Linked DNA regions of Sus scrofa. Each later gene encodes a partner of the first gene's protein in a complex. Links are inferred from orthologs where the notes say so. Each region holds a gene or a part of one and is shown in the gene's direction. Other genes may lie near its edges. The genes, in order: SGF29, KAT14, TADA2A and MBIP.

Region 1 (2,696 bases):
TTGTCTGAAGTGGCCGGGTGTGTGCACTCGTGCCTGCGGAGGTCAGGAGTCCATCCACACGGGAGAGTTTTTTTAACTTTGTTGTTGAATTAAAACATACTTCACTTCTGTGTTCATATCGAAAAGAACACAATGAACGGAGAGCTCACTGCATTTTCACTCACTGAACTGACCCTCACCCAGAGCAGGAACTGGAACATGACCAGCTTCTCAGAACCCCAGCTTTTGCCCTCTCTAGTTCCTTCCCCTTCCAGGGCCGCCCTGGAGCTGGGTGGTCTCTCACCCTCAGGATCTAGCGGAAGAGGCGGGGCGCCACCTGGGCCCTTGCTGCGAACTTGGGCGGTGGGACTTCAGGCTGAGCCCTGACAGCCCCATGCAGGCAGGCGAGGGTGGGCCCCGGCGGCCCCCTGTCCCTGCCAGCTCAGGGCTCCCTTCCTCCCCACAGCGGCCAAGATCGCCGGCCTGTACAATGACTCGGAGCCCCCTCGGAAGACCATGCGCCGGGGGGTGTTGATGACCCTGCTGCAGCAGTCAGCCATGACCTTGCCCCTGTGGATCGGGAAGCCTGGTGACAAGTGAGGGCAGGACGGGGCGGGGTGGGAGGGCAGGCCGGCGAGCGGCCAGAACTAACATCTCATTGCACCCTTAGGCCCCCACCCCTCTGTGGGGCCATTCCAGCTTCTGGGGACTATGTGGCCAAACCTGGAGATAAGGTGGCTGCCCGAGTGAAGGCCGTGGACGGGGATGAGCAGTGGATCCTGGCCGAAGTGGTCAGTTACAGCCATGCCACCAACAAGTGAGTGGATGCCCAGCCCTGGGGCTGCTCTCCTGTCACCACACCCGCCGGGGCTGCCAATGGTACCCGTCTGCAGGGTGGGGGAAAGCTGCTTCTCCCGGGCTCCTTCCCCTCCCAGCCGCCGCCTCCCCTTCCTGACGGCTTCCTGCCCGGCTGCACAGCTCCCTGCATCCTGCTTTCCTTTTGTTCACCCACAGGTATGAGGTAGATGACATTGACGAGGAAGGCAAAGAGTGAGTGTGCTGGCAGCGGGGTGCCCTGGAAGCCTGGGGGGCAGCCAGGCTGCTGGGATGGGGTCCCCACCTGGCCGGGGGCTGACCTAAGGCCTCGTCCCCTAGGAGACACACACTGAGCCGCCGGCGGATCATCCCACTGCCCCAGTGGAAGGCCAACCCGGAGACGGACCCCGAGGCCTTGTTCCAGAAGGAGCAGCTGGTGCTGGCCCTGTATCCCCAGACCACCTGCTTCTACCGTGCCCTGATCCACACACCCCCACAGCGGGTAAGGCGTCTCCCCCGGGTCCAGGAACCGGGACCGGCTGACCTGACCGGCCACAGGGTCATCTTCCCACTGCCTTCCCCCTCATCCTCCCTCACAGCCTCTCTGCCCTTTCTTTTCTGCTTGGTCCGCCCTGGGACTCCCGGGGGGAGCGCCAGCCAGTCCTCCTCTTTGCAGCCCCAACGGGACCTGACCCTTCCTGGTCCAAGCTCGCTTTTGTGTTGAGATGGGAAGGCCCAGGGCCTGGCTTGGGACCCTTGACCCTTTCCTTGGCTGACCTGCTCTCCCTAATGCTCTTGACCACGTTGGGACGCGCTGGTCACCCATCACCCAATGGCAATTTAAAGGATGTTCTCCCCTCTTCCTCCAGGACCCCTGCCTGCTTTCCTCTAGATCGTTCTTGGTTCCTTTAACACAGGCTCCCCGCAAGACAGCGGACCCTCTAGCTGGCCTCACCCGTTTAGGTCGAGAGTCTCCCTTCTCCCTGCTCCTTGTCCCCTGCCCGCGGCCCTTTGTTGCGAGGAAAGAGCTCGGTGGTAGCAGGGACCAGGTTCAAGCATCCAGACTTCTCCAGTGACAAGGATGGGAGAGGCTGGGGGCCCATACACCAAAGGTTCCTATCGGTCTAGGCTTGGGGAGCCTTGCCTGCAGGTCTCTGACGAGTCCGATGTCTGTCCCCGCCCACAGCCCCAGGATGACTATTCAGTCCTGTTTGAAGACACCTCCTATGCAGATGGTTACTCCCCCCCGCTCAATGTGGCCCAGCGGTACGTGGTGGCTTGTAAGGAGCCCAAGAAAAAGTGAAGCAGCCAGTCAGACTCTCAGTCGCCTGACACCCTAAATCGGGGGATGCAACACAAGATTCTGTGACCAAATAAATACTCTTCCTCGTGTCTCCCGGGGTTTACTTCTCCAGACCCCCTTCCCCTCCCCATACAGGGCGAGCTGCAGGCCTCTTGGGGGTCGGCCTCATTTGCTCCCAGCAGGCATTTACCCTTTTAGCTCAGGGTTGCTCTTTGCTTCCAATGAAGGCTCTCTATTGAACACACATCAGATTTGATTTATTCACCTTTTTGGGCCACAGCAACAGCATGCACAAGTTTATAGGCCACACAGCAGTGACAACACATGATCTTTACCCCGCTGAGCCGCCAGGAAACTCCCAGATTTTATCCTTGAGGCTCCAGCCGGGCTTGCTTCACACCCCTCCTCCGTGAACGCCACCACTCACAGCTCCGAGCGGAAGCGGAGGTTACAGCCTGCCATCTTCTCAGCATAGTCGGCCTCAAAGCGCTCGTTCTGGGCCACTGTGAAGGTGCTTTTCCAATCTCCAGTGATGCCTGGGGAGGGGGCAAGGGTGGGGGGTAGGAGCGGGGTCTGGGCCACAGAGGAGGCCCCAAGT
Region 2 (4,323 bases), on another chromosome or scaffold:
CCACTGTGAAAGGTTATGAGTATTTTGGAGTTCCCAGATGGCTCAGCAGGTTAAGGATCCGGTATTGTCACTGTACTAGCTCCGGTCTGATCCCTGGCCTGGGAATTTCCACATGCTGTTGGTATAGCCAAAAAAAAAGTTGAGTATTTTGTGACTTATAACCTATAAAATGTTAGTTATTAGTAACGACTGAATTGATGCTTTTGGACGTCTCATCTTAGATGCCAGGTCCATGTTCCGGAATATTCTTCTTGTCTTTTTAGTGCTTATCAAAGCCACAACCATTGATGGGCCGTTATTTTTGCCTCTGCTGGTAGTGTTCTTTTTTTTCCCCCTCTCTCTCCATTGTGTAATTGATAGTAATTCTGTATAATTTTTACTTTTTCTCTTAACCTAATAGAAGAAGCTGAGTTCTTTCTTGTATCTTTACAGTTGTTTAAATTTTAATAATTATTTTTTTCTGTGATATTTATTGCTTAGCTTGCCAATAGGAAGGTAGTTCATAGTCACTCAGGTAACTCTCATCAAGTTTTTAGAGCATCACATATCAACTAAACTTGTAAAATTCAGGTGGGGCAGTTTTTTTAAAAAAAATATTTCTTATTTGGAGTTCCCGTCGTGGCGCAGTGGTTAACGAATCCTACTAGGAACCATGAGGTTTCGGGTTTGATCCCGGACCTTGCCCAGTGGGTTAAGGATCCGGCATTGCTGTGGCTCTGGCGTAGGCCGGCAGCTACAGCTCTGATTAGACCCCTAGCCTGGGAACCTCCATATGCCATGGGAAGCGGCCCTAGAAAAGGCAAAAAAGACAAAAAAAAAAAAAAATTATTTCTCATTAAATTATATTTAATTTAGATTTTCATGCTAAACGGTGAGGAATTTCTTAAAACATGATAAGAAGTCTGTAATAATACCATAGCACTCTGCCAAATTAATTTGATGGTTTCTTTACTACATCATACTTACACAGAGGAGTTCCCGTTGTGGCTCACCAGAAACGAATCTGACTGGTATCCATGAGGACGCAGGTTTGATTGCTGGTGGGTTAAGGATCTGGTGTTGCAGTGAGCTGTGGTGTTGGTCGCAGATGCAGTGCAGATCTGGTATTGCTGTGGTTGTGGCTATAGTTCTGATTTGGCCCCTAGCCTGGGAACCTCCATATGCTGCAGGTGCAGCCCTAAAAAGCCAAAAAAAAAAAAAAAAAAAAGACACGTTACACTTATGCAGAAAATTAAAATAGTAATTGGGTACTTGGAATCTAAAAGTTTGAAGTGTATTTTGGTAACACTGTTTTTGGATTTGAATGGCACAGGGATGGGAACCACCTGTTCAGGGTTTTACTGAAATCTGTTTCTTACACTTTTAGAGGCTTCGTGACGGAGTGATCAGAGACATTGAGAGGCAAAGTCGGAAAAAAGAAAACATTCGTCTCCTGGGAGAACAGATTCTTCTGACTGAGCAACTTCAAGCAGAAAGAGAGAAGATGGTGTTGGCAAAAGGATCTCAAAACACATGACTTAAAATGCATGTGAAATATGGATGGAATAGACAGCATTAAGTGTGTGTGTGTGAATGATGGAGAACAGCTTATTGAAATCTTCAGCCTGTGTTTTTGGTCACTGTCCTTTTAAACTTGATTAGAAAATGGACAATGGATCATGTGTTCTAAGTAATTGCTTTAAGAGCCTTTTGTATCTGAGTAGAGGTGGGCAGATGATTTTCTGAGAGTTTCTGTTTGTATGGTCAGTGAGGAGCCCATTTAAGCTTGGTGTCCAGAGCTTAGGATTGTTCCTGGGAGCACTCTGAACCTTCAGGAAGAGGGGGATGGAGACTAACATCCACCTGGGCAGTTTGATCAGTCGGCATGATGATGAAGCCACAAGAACGTCCACATCAGAAGGGCTGGAGGAGGGGGAGGTGGAGGGGGAGACCCTCCTGATCGTGGAGTCGGAGGACCAGGCGTCTGTGGACTTGTCTCACGACCAGAGCGGGGATTCCCTCAACAGTGACGAAGGGGACATGTCGTGGATGGAGGAGCAGCTGTCCTACTTCTGCGACAAGTGCCAAAAGTGGATCCCAGCCAGTAAGGAGCCTCTCAATTCCTTTGCGTTATCAGTTCCTGTGGGAAGGTTTGCTTTTCTAACCTGGGAAAGCAGTGTGAATGTAACATAGACCTAAATAAAAAGCTAACAGTTGGGAGTTCCCATCATGGCGCAGCGGAAACGAATCTGGCTAGGAACCATGAGGTTTCGGGTTCGATCCCTGGCTTCCCTCAGTGGCTTGAGGATCCAGCTTTGCTGTGAGGTGTGGTGTAGGTCGCAGGTTCGGCTCGGATCCTGTGTTGCTGTGGCTGTGGTGTAGGCTGGCAGCTACAGTTCCAATTAGACCCCTCGTGTGGGAACCTCCATGTGCTGCGGGGGCAGCCCTGAAGAGACCAAAAAAAAAAAAAAAAAAAAAAAAGCTAACAGTTATATTTGTTATTAGTTTAGCTGATTACAAATTTATGTTAAATAGACACATTTGTCAGCCTCTGATCACGTTGTTAAGTTAATGTTCTTGATTGTAACCCAATAAAAATGAGAAAATGGGAAATCCTGTGTTAAATTCAGAGATAGCCACATTTTTCTATCAAGATCATGTAATTGTGGGGCCAAATTATAAGACCAGTGTAGAGCTGAAGTTCAGGCTCATAAAAATGACTCTGGTGATATTTAACTTACACGGCCAGTGACTTGCTATTGTATGCTGATGGAAGGTCGGAATTAGCAGATTGAGAGTCTTACGCCTTTTTCTAGGGTGGCTTTCTACTTGCTGGCCTTCTTGATCTGCTGACAGTAGATGCACACATGTGCTTTCCTAACAGCTCACTTTTTCAGCTGTGAGCTTCCAGCTCTCAAGGAGTGTGCTCTGCCGGGCATCAGAGCTCTTACCAAACAGGATTTTCCACTAGGCCGAGACTAGTAAAGACATATGTACTAGAGAAATACTTGTGCAATAGAATTTGTAACTAGGTCAGAGAAGTTTATGTATATGCATGTATGTCTGTATCATTGTGAAGCAGGCCATTTTCTGCTGTGTGGAAATGTTTTGGATTCAACTCTTCACATTCGTAATTACTGTTAATAAATTGATAGCATTTTCACCAAAAGCAAACCCAAAATTGACTACATTTTAGCTAGTTTCTGCTTTTGAGCTGTCTCTGCTTATAAATTCAGGGTTCTGCCTAAGAATGTTTCCCATTGTCTTTGCAGCATTTTCTGCCCTTCCTGATGAGGCCCCTGCTAACTTCTCCAGCCTCACTCTTTAGTGTCCACCTATCTGCACATGGAAACACAACTTTGCAGTTAGAGTGAGCCTTTAATTCCCCATGAGCAGTTGCAGTTCTTTCTTCCCCCCAGGACTTCGCACACACAAACGTCCTCTGTGGAATATGTCTCTACAGCTTATGTCCCCCCACCTTCCCCACCCCGGCCCAGTCTCACACACACAAGCATCTCTTTTCGCCTGCCAATTTTGGCCATCCTTCAGGTCCCTGTCGGCCCCACTTCTAGCTCTCCTGTCTTCCCGATGTAGGTGGGCACCTCTTATGTGTCCTCCTATTGCCTCCTGCATGCATCACAGCGACTGCGGGGGTTTCTGTTTCTTCTAGAGCACCGGATCACCTGGGGAACTTCAAAAACTGCACTGCTTCCAGGGCTTGATTTATTTTGTGTGCAGTAGGCCCTGGGCATATTTAAAACAAGACAACCCCCGGGTGGTTCTGATGTTCAGTGAGGGTGGAGCCCTGCTGAGCTGCTCTGATTCCCTGCTTGCTCCTTTGTAGCCCTCAGACTTTGTAAGCTCAGGATCTGGCATCATATCTGTGTTGTGTGTTATGTTACAGGCTCCCAGCCTAGACCCTGGCTCAGTGAGAGCTCAGATATTTTCTGGAAGAAAGTGTGAAGAGACCTATAGGAATCTGGAATGCTAACGGTTGGAATAGCCAGTGAGAACAATCTTACCTGCTTTTCCAGGCTCTTCTGAAAGTTGGGGAACCACAGAAATACCTGAGTGGACATGCACCTGCTGTTAGATGAATAAAAATCTCCCTTCCCGACCCTGACCCTGCAGAAAAGAAAGGGAAAAACACAGCCTGGAAACTTGAAAAATAGTTGATAAATTGATTCAAGCTTTGGGTTACTTCTGCTCTGGACAGACGTGTGATGTGCCTTTTGTTTTTCTCCTAGGTCAGCTGAGGGAACAGCTCAGTTACCTTAAGGGCGATAATTTTTTTAGGTTTACTTGTTCTGATTGCTCGGAAGATGGCAAGGAGCAGTATGAGAG
Region 3 (4,136 bases), on another chromosome or scaffold:
TGGGCATTATCTATTATATACTATGTGTATTGCTTATTGTCTAAATATTGCTTATTGTCTACCTCCTCCACGATGAGGCAGAAACTTTGTTTTGTTCACCGAATTCCCAGCACCTAGAACTGGTATCTACTCATTAAAAATTTGATAAATGAAAATAGATTTCCAGGGTATATCAAATGTAAAACTACTTTATATTTTTTGAATGAAGTATAGAAAAATATCTAGAAGAATGTAAGGCAAAATGGTAACCATTTAACATGGTAGGAGCTGGTTTTCATTTTTTGTTCATGCAAATATTCTTTTTTTTTTAGAACGAACTTGTATGACTAAGAAATGAATAAAAAGGCCACACAGGCAGGTGTAAATGATTTCTCTAAGAGGTTGGGCAAATTGATGGAAGAAAGACTTCTAAATAGATGCATGAGCATAATGGCTAAGACAAACCACTGTTTGAATGCCCTTCCCCAACACCATCTAGCTGTGTGAACCCAAGTTATTTACAAGGTAGAGTCTAAAGGTCTTCACCTGGAAAATGGGGATGATAATATTACAAGTGTCTTTTCCATAAGGTTATTTTTGAAGATTAAATGAGACCATGTATGTAAACTCCTTTGTACAATGCCTGGCATGCAATAAATACTCGACAAATGGCAGCTATCATAATAATAATAATTAGCAGTAGTAACAAGAGATGTTGGGACATACCTAGCCCTCAAGACTGACATCAGAGTGGACCACCACATCCTCTCATCATCGCGCCTCAATTTGGGCACCTAAAGCCCAAAGAGAGGATGGTTTTTCCAAAGAAGATAATTTCGACGTTCCAGAAGCATCTGAATCAAACGTACCCCATGTACCCTTGAACCATTCAGGCAGTCTGGTTAATCCATGAGTAGCACTGCAAGACCCGGCCTCGAGGGGGGACCACCACTCGCCGTCCTTGGGCCCAGTCCCTCAGCCTCCATTTCCTTTGAGGCTGCAACAGGGGTGGCAGGAATGTTACAAAACGCAAAAGCGGGGCTGTACCGGCCCGCTCCAGCTCACCGCACTCTGGAGGGGTCAAACGGCAGCACGCATCCGCAAGTCTGCGGCGACGAGCAACGCGCCCCGAGGGAAAAGTGATTACTGGTCCGACTCAAAAGTCTGGCAAACTGCTCAGAGCCCCATCCTCCCAGGCCTCTGCTGGAGGCGGGCGGCGAGCTCTCGGCGAGGTCAGGGGCTGGAGCTGAGAGAGGGGAGGCGGCGAGCGCGCGCCACGCGGCGGGGCCGCGACGGCTGGGGCGGCGCCTGGGCGGAGGCGGCGAGCGCGCGGCCCGCTCGCGCCTGCGCCGCTCGGGAGCGAGCACGCAAAAGCCCGGGCGCGCGCACGGCTGGCGTTTCCTCGGCGCGGAAGAGGGGGACGCGGCGAGGTGAGGCACGAGGCGCTGCGGCACGGGTGGTGGCGTGGTGCGGCGCGAACCCCTCTCGCGGGACGAGGGGGAGAAGGCGTCCTCGAGGTTCCCCGAGGGTGGGGGAGGGCTGCGGACCCCAGCGGCGTCGGGGGCGAGAGGGTGAGTCGGCCCGACTGGCGCGAGGCGGGGGCCACGCCGTGCGGTGGGGGAGGGCGGCGCGTGCCCGGCCCGAGCCCTGGTGCCCCGCCCCGCCGCGAGCCTGGCGACTCCCGCCCCCTGGGCGGTCCTGCTGGGTTCCGGCCTCCGCTTTCCTGACTTTGCGTTGGAGGGCGTAATGCGGCTCACGACAGCGTATGGTTGATGTTACCTGTTGTTCTCAAGTAGGCCTTCCAAATAGATATTTCAGGTTCATTTTAGAGCTGTGCTTGTCTGAGCCTCCAGTAAAATGACTTGCCCAAGATCACAGTTAATAAGGAACAAAATGAGGCTTCGAATCTTGTTTGCAAAACTCCAAGCCTGCCCCTGTCCTCTGAACTGCAGTGAGTGAGTAATCTTCACGTCCCTTCCCTCCTCCCAGTAATTTCTTTGAACAAAGCAGATGTTAATTTGGAGCTAGCACCCAGCCTTTCGTGGGTATTAGCGTCAGAAATGTCTCCTGTGTGAAAAAAAGACGGGGAAAAAAAAGATTCTGCTTATTGCAGTATTGCACTTACAACGTGGAGTGTTCACGAGACTTTATATAAAGTTCCTTACTTGACTATCTCTAGTTGACCTCTGAAGTGACATTGCTATTCACTACGTCTAGGACATTGTGCCAGTAACACAATCTTTTAGCATTTCCTTTCCCTCCTTGAAAAAGCAACATGTCTCTGAAGGTTGTAAGGATTCAGAGATGATCCACATACAGTGGTACCACAGTACCTGGTATATGAGAAAAGTTCAATAAGTTTTGGCCATTATTTTATTATTAAGTGCATGATACCACTTACTAAACTCACTTTTCTTCAGACTCATTTTCCTGGGGCTAGACCAGAGGGAGAACCACCCCAACCTACCCTAAAAAAGACAAGTTCATTGACAGTGTTGTATATTCTTAATGATAAATTATTCTCCAAGCCAAAACTATCCAGTGAAAGAAGTCACTGCAGGAAAACTAAGGATGAATTAACTTTTTTGTAGAATTAGCATTTATTTGTCCATTACATTTTTGTTTATTGAGTTCTTTCTGTGTGGCATTGTGTATGGTACTTTAAGACATACAAATTTGTATTTGATGTAGTTCCTGTTTTCATTTAGGCTAGAAATGGGAAAAATATGCATCCATAAGTAATCTTCACAGAGCAGTGTGAAAAATGCCGGAGAAGGGATAGATAAAAAGCTATGGGGAGGAGTTCCCATCGGGGCTAAGTGGTAAAGAACCCGACTAGTATCTATGAGGTTGTGGGTTCAATCCCTGGTCTCATTCAGTGGGTTTAGGCATTGCCCTTGAGTAATGGTGTAGGTCACAGACATGGCTGGAATCCCACGTTGCTGTGGCATAGGCTGGCAGCTGCAGCTCTGATTCTGTCCTTCGCCTGGGACCCTCCATGTGCTTCAGGTGCAGCCCTAAATTAAAAAAAAAAAAAAAAAAAAAAAGCTATGGGAGGAGTTCCCACAGTGGTGCAATGGGTTAAGGATCTGACATTCCGAAGCTGAGTCGTAGGTCTCAGATGCAGCTTGGGTTTGATTCCTAGCCCTGGGAACTTGCATATCCTGAGAGTGTGGCTGCAAAAGGAAAAAAAAGCTATGGGAGTATAGAAGGTGATATTGGCTTAGTGTGAAATATGAGTTCATTTATGTCTTAATAAAGATACTTTGTACATGGTACTTAACTGTTAAATATTTGTTCAAAGAATAAATTAGTGAACAAAATTTGTCATAATAGATAGGGTTTTTTTAGTTTGTTGTTGTTGTTGCTATTTCTTGGGCCGCTCCCGAAGCATATGGAGGTTCCCAGGCTAGGGGTTGAATCGGAGCTGTAGCCACCGGCCTACACCAGAGCCACAGCAACTCAGGATCCGAGCCGCATCTGCAACCTACACCACAACTCACTGGGCAAGGGCAGGGACCGAACCCGCAGCCTCATGGTTCCTAGTCGGATTCGTTAACCACTGCGCCACGACGGGAACTCCATGGTTTTTTAGTTTTCTAGTGATAAAAGTTCATTCGTATTAAAGTATTTTTGAAAAGATAGAGAAATGGAAAAAAAAAAAAATTTGTGCCATTTTTGGGAATGAGTATCTCAACAACCAGAGCTCATGAACCAGATTCTTTGGCTAGTGAATGACTGAGCTCTAACTGCCCTCTGTCCTTGTATATCTTACAAGATTCAGGTTCTGTAAGAAGAGTTTTAGTTGCTTTAGCTGCTATGGGGGTGGGGGACGGAGTGTTATGATTTGCAACAACCTACTCCCCCAAAGCCGTGTGAAATGTGGGAGAGTCACTTTCCTTCCCTAAGGAAGGAGGGCTGAGGAGAGAAGTGATGCTGCACAGAGAGAACCAGTTGTTGCCTATTAGAAATATATAGCCTTTGTAGAGGGCTTATCATGGGCCAGGTGCCATGGTATATTATTTATGTGGATATTGATTATTTTAATCCTCACAACTCTAGGAAGTAGATATGATTGTATCATATTCATTTCCAGAGGAGGAAACAAGCTTATAGAGATAAAATAATTTGCTTAGCATACAAAGCTAGGATGTGGT
Region 4 (4,300 bases), on another chromosome or scaffold:
CCAACCCTTTATACCTAGAAGAAAACAAATTATCTGAAACTGGCTGGTAATATGTTATAAAGCAAAAACTTCCAGTTACCCCATTAGAATTATTCTCTAACAAGAGAACTAGAGGCCAGGAAAATACCTTAACATTGCAAAGACTCTTGGATTTAGGTTAACACGGGGAAGAGTAGCTTGAATGGGAAGAAGGTTGCTCAATTTGGGATTAGATATTGTGAAATCTGTTTCTGGATGTCTCTAGGCATAGGCTGGATTATAAACTCTATATCTTGCTGTGAACAAGGGAGCGGACGAGATTACTTAAGATCCTGTCAAGCCTGCTGATCCTTGGAAATGAAAGCCTAATTAAGAGGCTCCCTAGGGACAGGTCAAAGGCATTCTTTTATCTCTACTGCCCCTAATCCAAGTTCCTTGATGGTTTATTCCTCCCCTTTCATTCAGCCTACTCTAAAACTGAAGAATACACATTGTGCAAGTTTCCAACTCTGCTTCTCCTACTGTAAACGCATTAGACAATTAGAATTAAGAATTTTAAATCTTTCATCCCTCATATCTAAACATGATGTTTATTTTTCAAGTGGTTTTGAATAGAGTTTAACATTAAGCATTCGTCTAAACTTTTTTTTTTTTTTCAATTGGACAACAAAATTTTCAATGCTTGACCCCGGAATACTACAGAGCCCTTCAGATATCTTTTAATACAGTTATCTGGATAAATAATAACTTGTTGAATTTTAATTCGGATTTATCTTTATTTTCAAAGATGGTGTTCACGCAATTACTTATTTGGGTTAAATTCCTGTTGGAATCATGTTGACATTGTTTTCTTTGAAACAGTTTTAGATGAGTGTGTATACCATATCACTCAGAGAACAGCAACTATGCAAGTTTTAAAACTTGACAGAATTATTTTGCAGATTTAAAGTAGTATTCCCTTGATAGTAAATGAGGCATAAAAGAGGGGTATTTTGGGGGGGAGGTGGTTATATCCTCCTCTTTCTCTCATGAAAAAAAAGTGATGTTAAATTGTGTATAGACGAAAATGTTCTACCCAATTATGACAATTCTGTGTGTTTTCAGTGTTTAGAAATATGTGTGGATCCACTGCGTCCCTGACCAGCGATCTTTCTAAAGTGCCGTGGTAAAATCTCAACTTTAATTTGGTACTAAAACTCTAACATTTAACTACAAGTTTTCTCTTAGCAACACTCATAATCAACATCTAAGCGTCAAGCTAAGCTTCAAGAAGCTAACTCTCATTAGATAACGACTCCAAATCACCATCTCAAATATTGCAGCAAGCCAAGCCCAGGTTGGCAATCTCTTGCTCACGGTCCTTGAAGGAATGCTGTAGTTGCACCTTATTGGTGCACATGCTTGTCAGTCATGTAGGGAAGGTGGGGTCTTACAGTCTCGCTCTAAATGAGACGCAGTGTGTTTACATCATCGGGGAGCGACGAAGGCAGGAGAGGGAGGGGTGTGTTGTGAGCACACCTTGGTGCTGGTGGGGGTGGCCTACGAAAGTGTCATGGCTGCCGCCGCTGAGCTTAGTCGCGCGACCCTCGGTGACAGGAGCATGGAGCGGAGCTGCAGCCCCAACCTCTCCCAAGAGGTGGTCTGCGAAGTCTTTCGCTCCTTGCATACCCTTGCTGGACAAGTGAGTGGTGGGCTTTGGGAGTAGGGATCTGGGAACCGTCCGGCCCCTCCCCCTCTCCTTTCTCCGGCGGAGGCGGGGGCGGCGGAGGCCTGCGGGGTGTGGGACCCGGCCCAGAATAGCCGAGGCTGGGGGAGGAGCTCGGGCCCGGCCGCCTGTGGTCTAAGTGAGGCTGGCCGCGCGTGGGTTAGTTCAAGACCGGTTGCAGGCTAGATTTCTTTGCAACTCTTCTCCCCAAGAGCGAATGAGGATAGTGTAAGTGAAACCCCGCTAGGAGAGAAACAAGCTCGAAGAGAATGCGTGCGGAAAAGCTGTGAGGGTTTGGGAGGCGCCTAGCGCTGTGGATCCCTTTTCCTCCAATTCATTCATTATAGAAATTGATAGGTTAGTCTACGGCCTGAGATTTCTGGAAAAGCTCCCTCTCCGCCTTTTTTGGGTGATTTACCGTTAGGAGTCAGTTGGGTTTGTTTATTTCTTCTTTCTTTCTGGCTGTTGCTTGCATCTCTTCCCCTTTCAAAACGGGAAGGAAGAGAAAAGGAATTAATTCAACCACTTCTAGTGTTAAGTTGGATAAGTTATCCCTGGTTTATACTGTTTGCATCACAACTGTTGACAAGTTATTAAATATTAACTAGCTTAACTGGCTGATAAATAGCTTTTGTAGAAATATCATTATAGAATCGAACAAATAAAAGTGCTCTTTACTCTGTTCCAGTGAAGTCACTATTTCGTTTCATGATGTAAGATGTAAAGGAAATTTAAAATGCGAACTTGAAAATACCGTTTGTCTGCTTTTAAAAGGAAATCTTTTTTTAAATCTTAGATAGGATTAGGTATTTGTGTGGAAGATAATGGTAACATCCTTTATGAAAATAGAGCGTTTGATTTGTGAAAATTACTTTTAAAAGCCTTCGGTGGATGGATAATCAGTTTTTTAAAAGGTTATTTCAGTATTTTTAAAAATTCTAATATATTCTGACTTAAAAAGAGTATTACTCAAAATTAAATACACAATTTGGTGTAAGCGAATAATTATCAATAGAATCGGCTAAAAGAGTTGTTTTTCAAGGACTTAAATATTTTTTTGAGACAGGGACATTAATATTTCAGTGTCAAGACTTAAAACCTCTAAATGGTTTAAAAGTTTGAGAACTTTCTATGATGTGACTTTGGAACTTTAAGGTTTTTTTTTTTTTATATCCTAATGTCAAGATGAAAGGTTAATGCTCACCTGTAGTTTACAGACTTCCCCCCACTGATGAGATTTTTTTAAATAACATTAAGAAATAATTTAAACATTTTTGAAACAGTTGGCATACTGAATTTTTAAAACTTATTTTAACATTTTAAACATTCAACTATTCTGTAGGAAAAGTATGATTACAAATTATTTATGTCACCTCAAAAATGTTTAAATATTTGGTGAGTTTTATTGACAGTGAAGGAACCATTTATACAAGTGTTGGGGAAAAAAAATCATCTCATCAATTAACTGCTAGCCATTTTGATAATACTCTATATTTTGAGATGTATAAAGATAAGGATGAAAGCCAGAGTACTATACTTATAAAATTGCCCCTAGTGGGAATCATTATTTTTTTTTTGAAACTGGTTTAAGGAATTTCTTTAACTGTATGTTGTAAAATGCCTAGTTCATTCTATATAGTATCATTGTATTATTAGCTCTCCTCAATAGGAAACATAAAATTGAATGTTTAAACAGTATTTTCTATCCTAGATTTCCAGTTTACTAATTTTAACTTTATTACTTGCCTCTGGATTGTCCATTTTACAAGCTGAAGAGTTATTTATTATTAGCTTGGATTTTCATATTTATAAAGTTTTTACTGAAATGCATATTTTAAATGGTCCATATTAATGGCTGACTTATACATTTTCGAGTGAATGTTTTAGAGTTACAAGTTCTATAGCCTAAAAATGCATAGAATTCATATTACTAATAGGGAATTTGTTGAATAATAATTGAATGTATTGGGATAGTTTTAAAGTTAATTTTTAATGTTGTTATATGGTTTTCTTAAAAGACCAAGTATCTTGAATTTCACTTGAAAGCTTACATAATTCTGCTGTATTGAAATGAGACTATGATCCAAACATAAATTAATTTCTATAAGTTACTATTTGGTAAATTTGTTGCTTTGTCTTGGTTGAGGATTTGCATTATCCCAAAATGTATATATAAATTTGTTATAACCAACTATAGATCTCTTTGGAACTGTGAAAGTATAGTTTACTTTCATACATAAGTTGTTGTCTAACAAAATCTTTATAGGCATTAAATTAATTAAGATTAATGTAGCAATCTTAATGTAAAACTTTAGTTAAATTAATATAAACTCATCTGCTAGTGCAGCCTACACAAAACTTAGTTCCTTATGCTTGTCTGATATGGACTTTAAATATTCCTGGTCAAAGGGTGGAAATTTCTTTCATATAGCATTCAATATAGTGCCTTTGTGGGAACTTCATATCTTTTCAGTTTTTTGTACAGTGATTCATTCATCTTTTTGCTATATTGTAATCACAATTCATAAGATCTATATTTGAACTAAAGTAATATATCTTTATTTTTAGCAAAGATGACTAATTTTAAATAAATGATTTCTGGAAAAATAGGATAGT

What was found.
Region 2: SGF29 (region 1) and KAT14 share a complex: the UniProt entries of both Homo sapiens proteins name them as parts of the ADA2A-containing complex. The link is inferred for Sus scrofa from reciprocal best matches to the Homo sapiens genes SGF29 and KAT14.
Region 3: SGF29 (region 1) and TADA2A share a complex: the UniProt entries of both Homo sapiens proteins name them as parts of the ADA2A-containing complex. The link is inferred for Sus scrofa from reciprocal best matches to the Homo sapiens genes SGF29 and TADA2A.
Region 4: SGF29 (region 1) and MBIP share a complex: the UniProt entries of both Homo sapiens proteins name them as parts of the ADA2A-containing complex. The link is inferred for Sus scrofa from reciprocal best matches to the Homo sapiens genes SGF29 and MBIP.

What each region holds. Positions count from the first base shown.
Region 1 is NC_010445.4:18,354,291-18,356,986, reverse strand, and holds the end of SGF29 (SAGA-associated factor 29), read left to right. Parts: intron 1-445; coding exon 446-575; intron 576-649; coding exon 650-796; intron 797-993; coding exon 994-1,029; intron 1,030-1,134; coding exon 1,135-1,297; intron 1,298-1,981; coding exon 1,982-2,098; 3' UTR 2,099-2,189; downstream 2,190-2,696. UniProt on the Homo sapiens protein: Chromatin reader component of some histone acetyltransferase (HAT) SAGA-type complexes like the TFTC-HAT, ATAC or STAGA complexes.
Region 2 is NC_010459.5:26,483,470-26,487,792, forward strand, and holds the start of KAT14 (cysteine-rich protein 2-binding protein), read left to right. Parts: upstream 1-1,516; 5' UTR 1,517-1,824; coding exon 1,825-2,083; intron 2,084-4,226; coding exon 4,227-4,323. Other genes in the region: protein PET117 homolog, mitochondrial, read left to right, coding at 1,367-1,516. UniProt on the Homo sapiens protein: Component of the ATAC complex, a complex with histone acetyltransferase activity on histones H3 and H4. May function as a scaffold for the ATAC complex to promote ATAC complex stability. Has also weak histone acetyltransferase activity toward histone H4.
Region 3 is NC_010454.4:38,873,847-38,877,982, forward strand, and holds the start of TADA2A (transcriptional adapter 2-alpha), read left to right. Parts: upstream 1-1,309; 5' UTR 1,310-1,409; intron 1,410-1,410; exon of another isoform or gene 1,411-1,550; intron 1,551-1,734; exon of another isoform or gene 1,735-1,934; intron 1,935-4,136. Other genes in the region: ACACA (acetyl-CoA carboxylase 1), read right to left, coding at 706-725. UniProt on the Homo sapiens protein: Component of the ATAC complex, a complex with histone acetyltransferase activity on histones H3 and H4. Required for the function of some acidic activation domains, which activate transcription from a distant site. Binds double-stranded DNA.
Region 4 is NC_010449.5:63,657,777-63,662,076, forward strand, and holds the start of MBIP (MAP3K12-binding inhibitory protein 1), read left to right. Parts: upstream 1-1,446; 5' UTR 1,447-1,531; coding exon 1,532-1,660; intron 1,661-4,300. UniProt on the Homo sapiens protein: Inhibits the MAP3K12 activity to induce the activation of the JNK/SAPK pathway. Component of the ATAC complex, a complex with histone acetyltransferase activity on histones H3 and H4.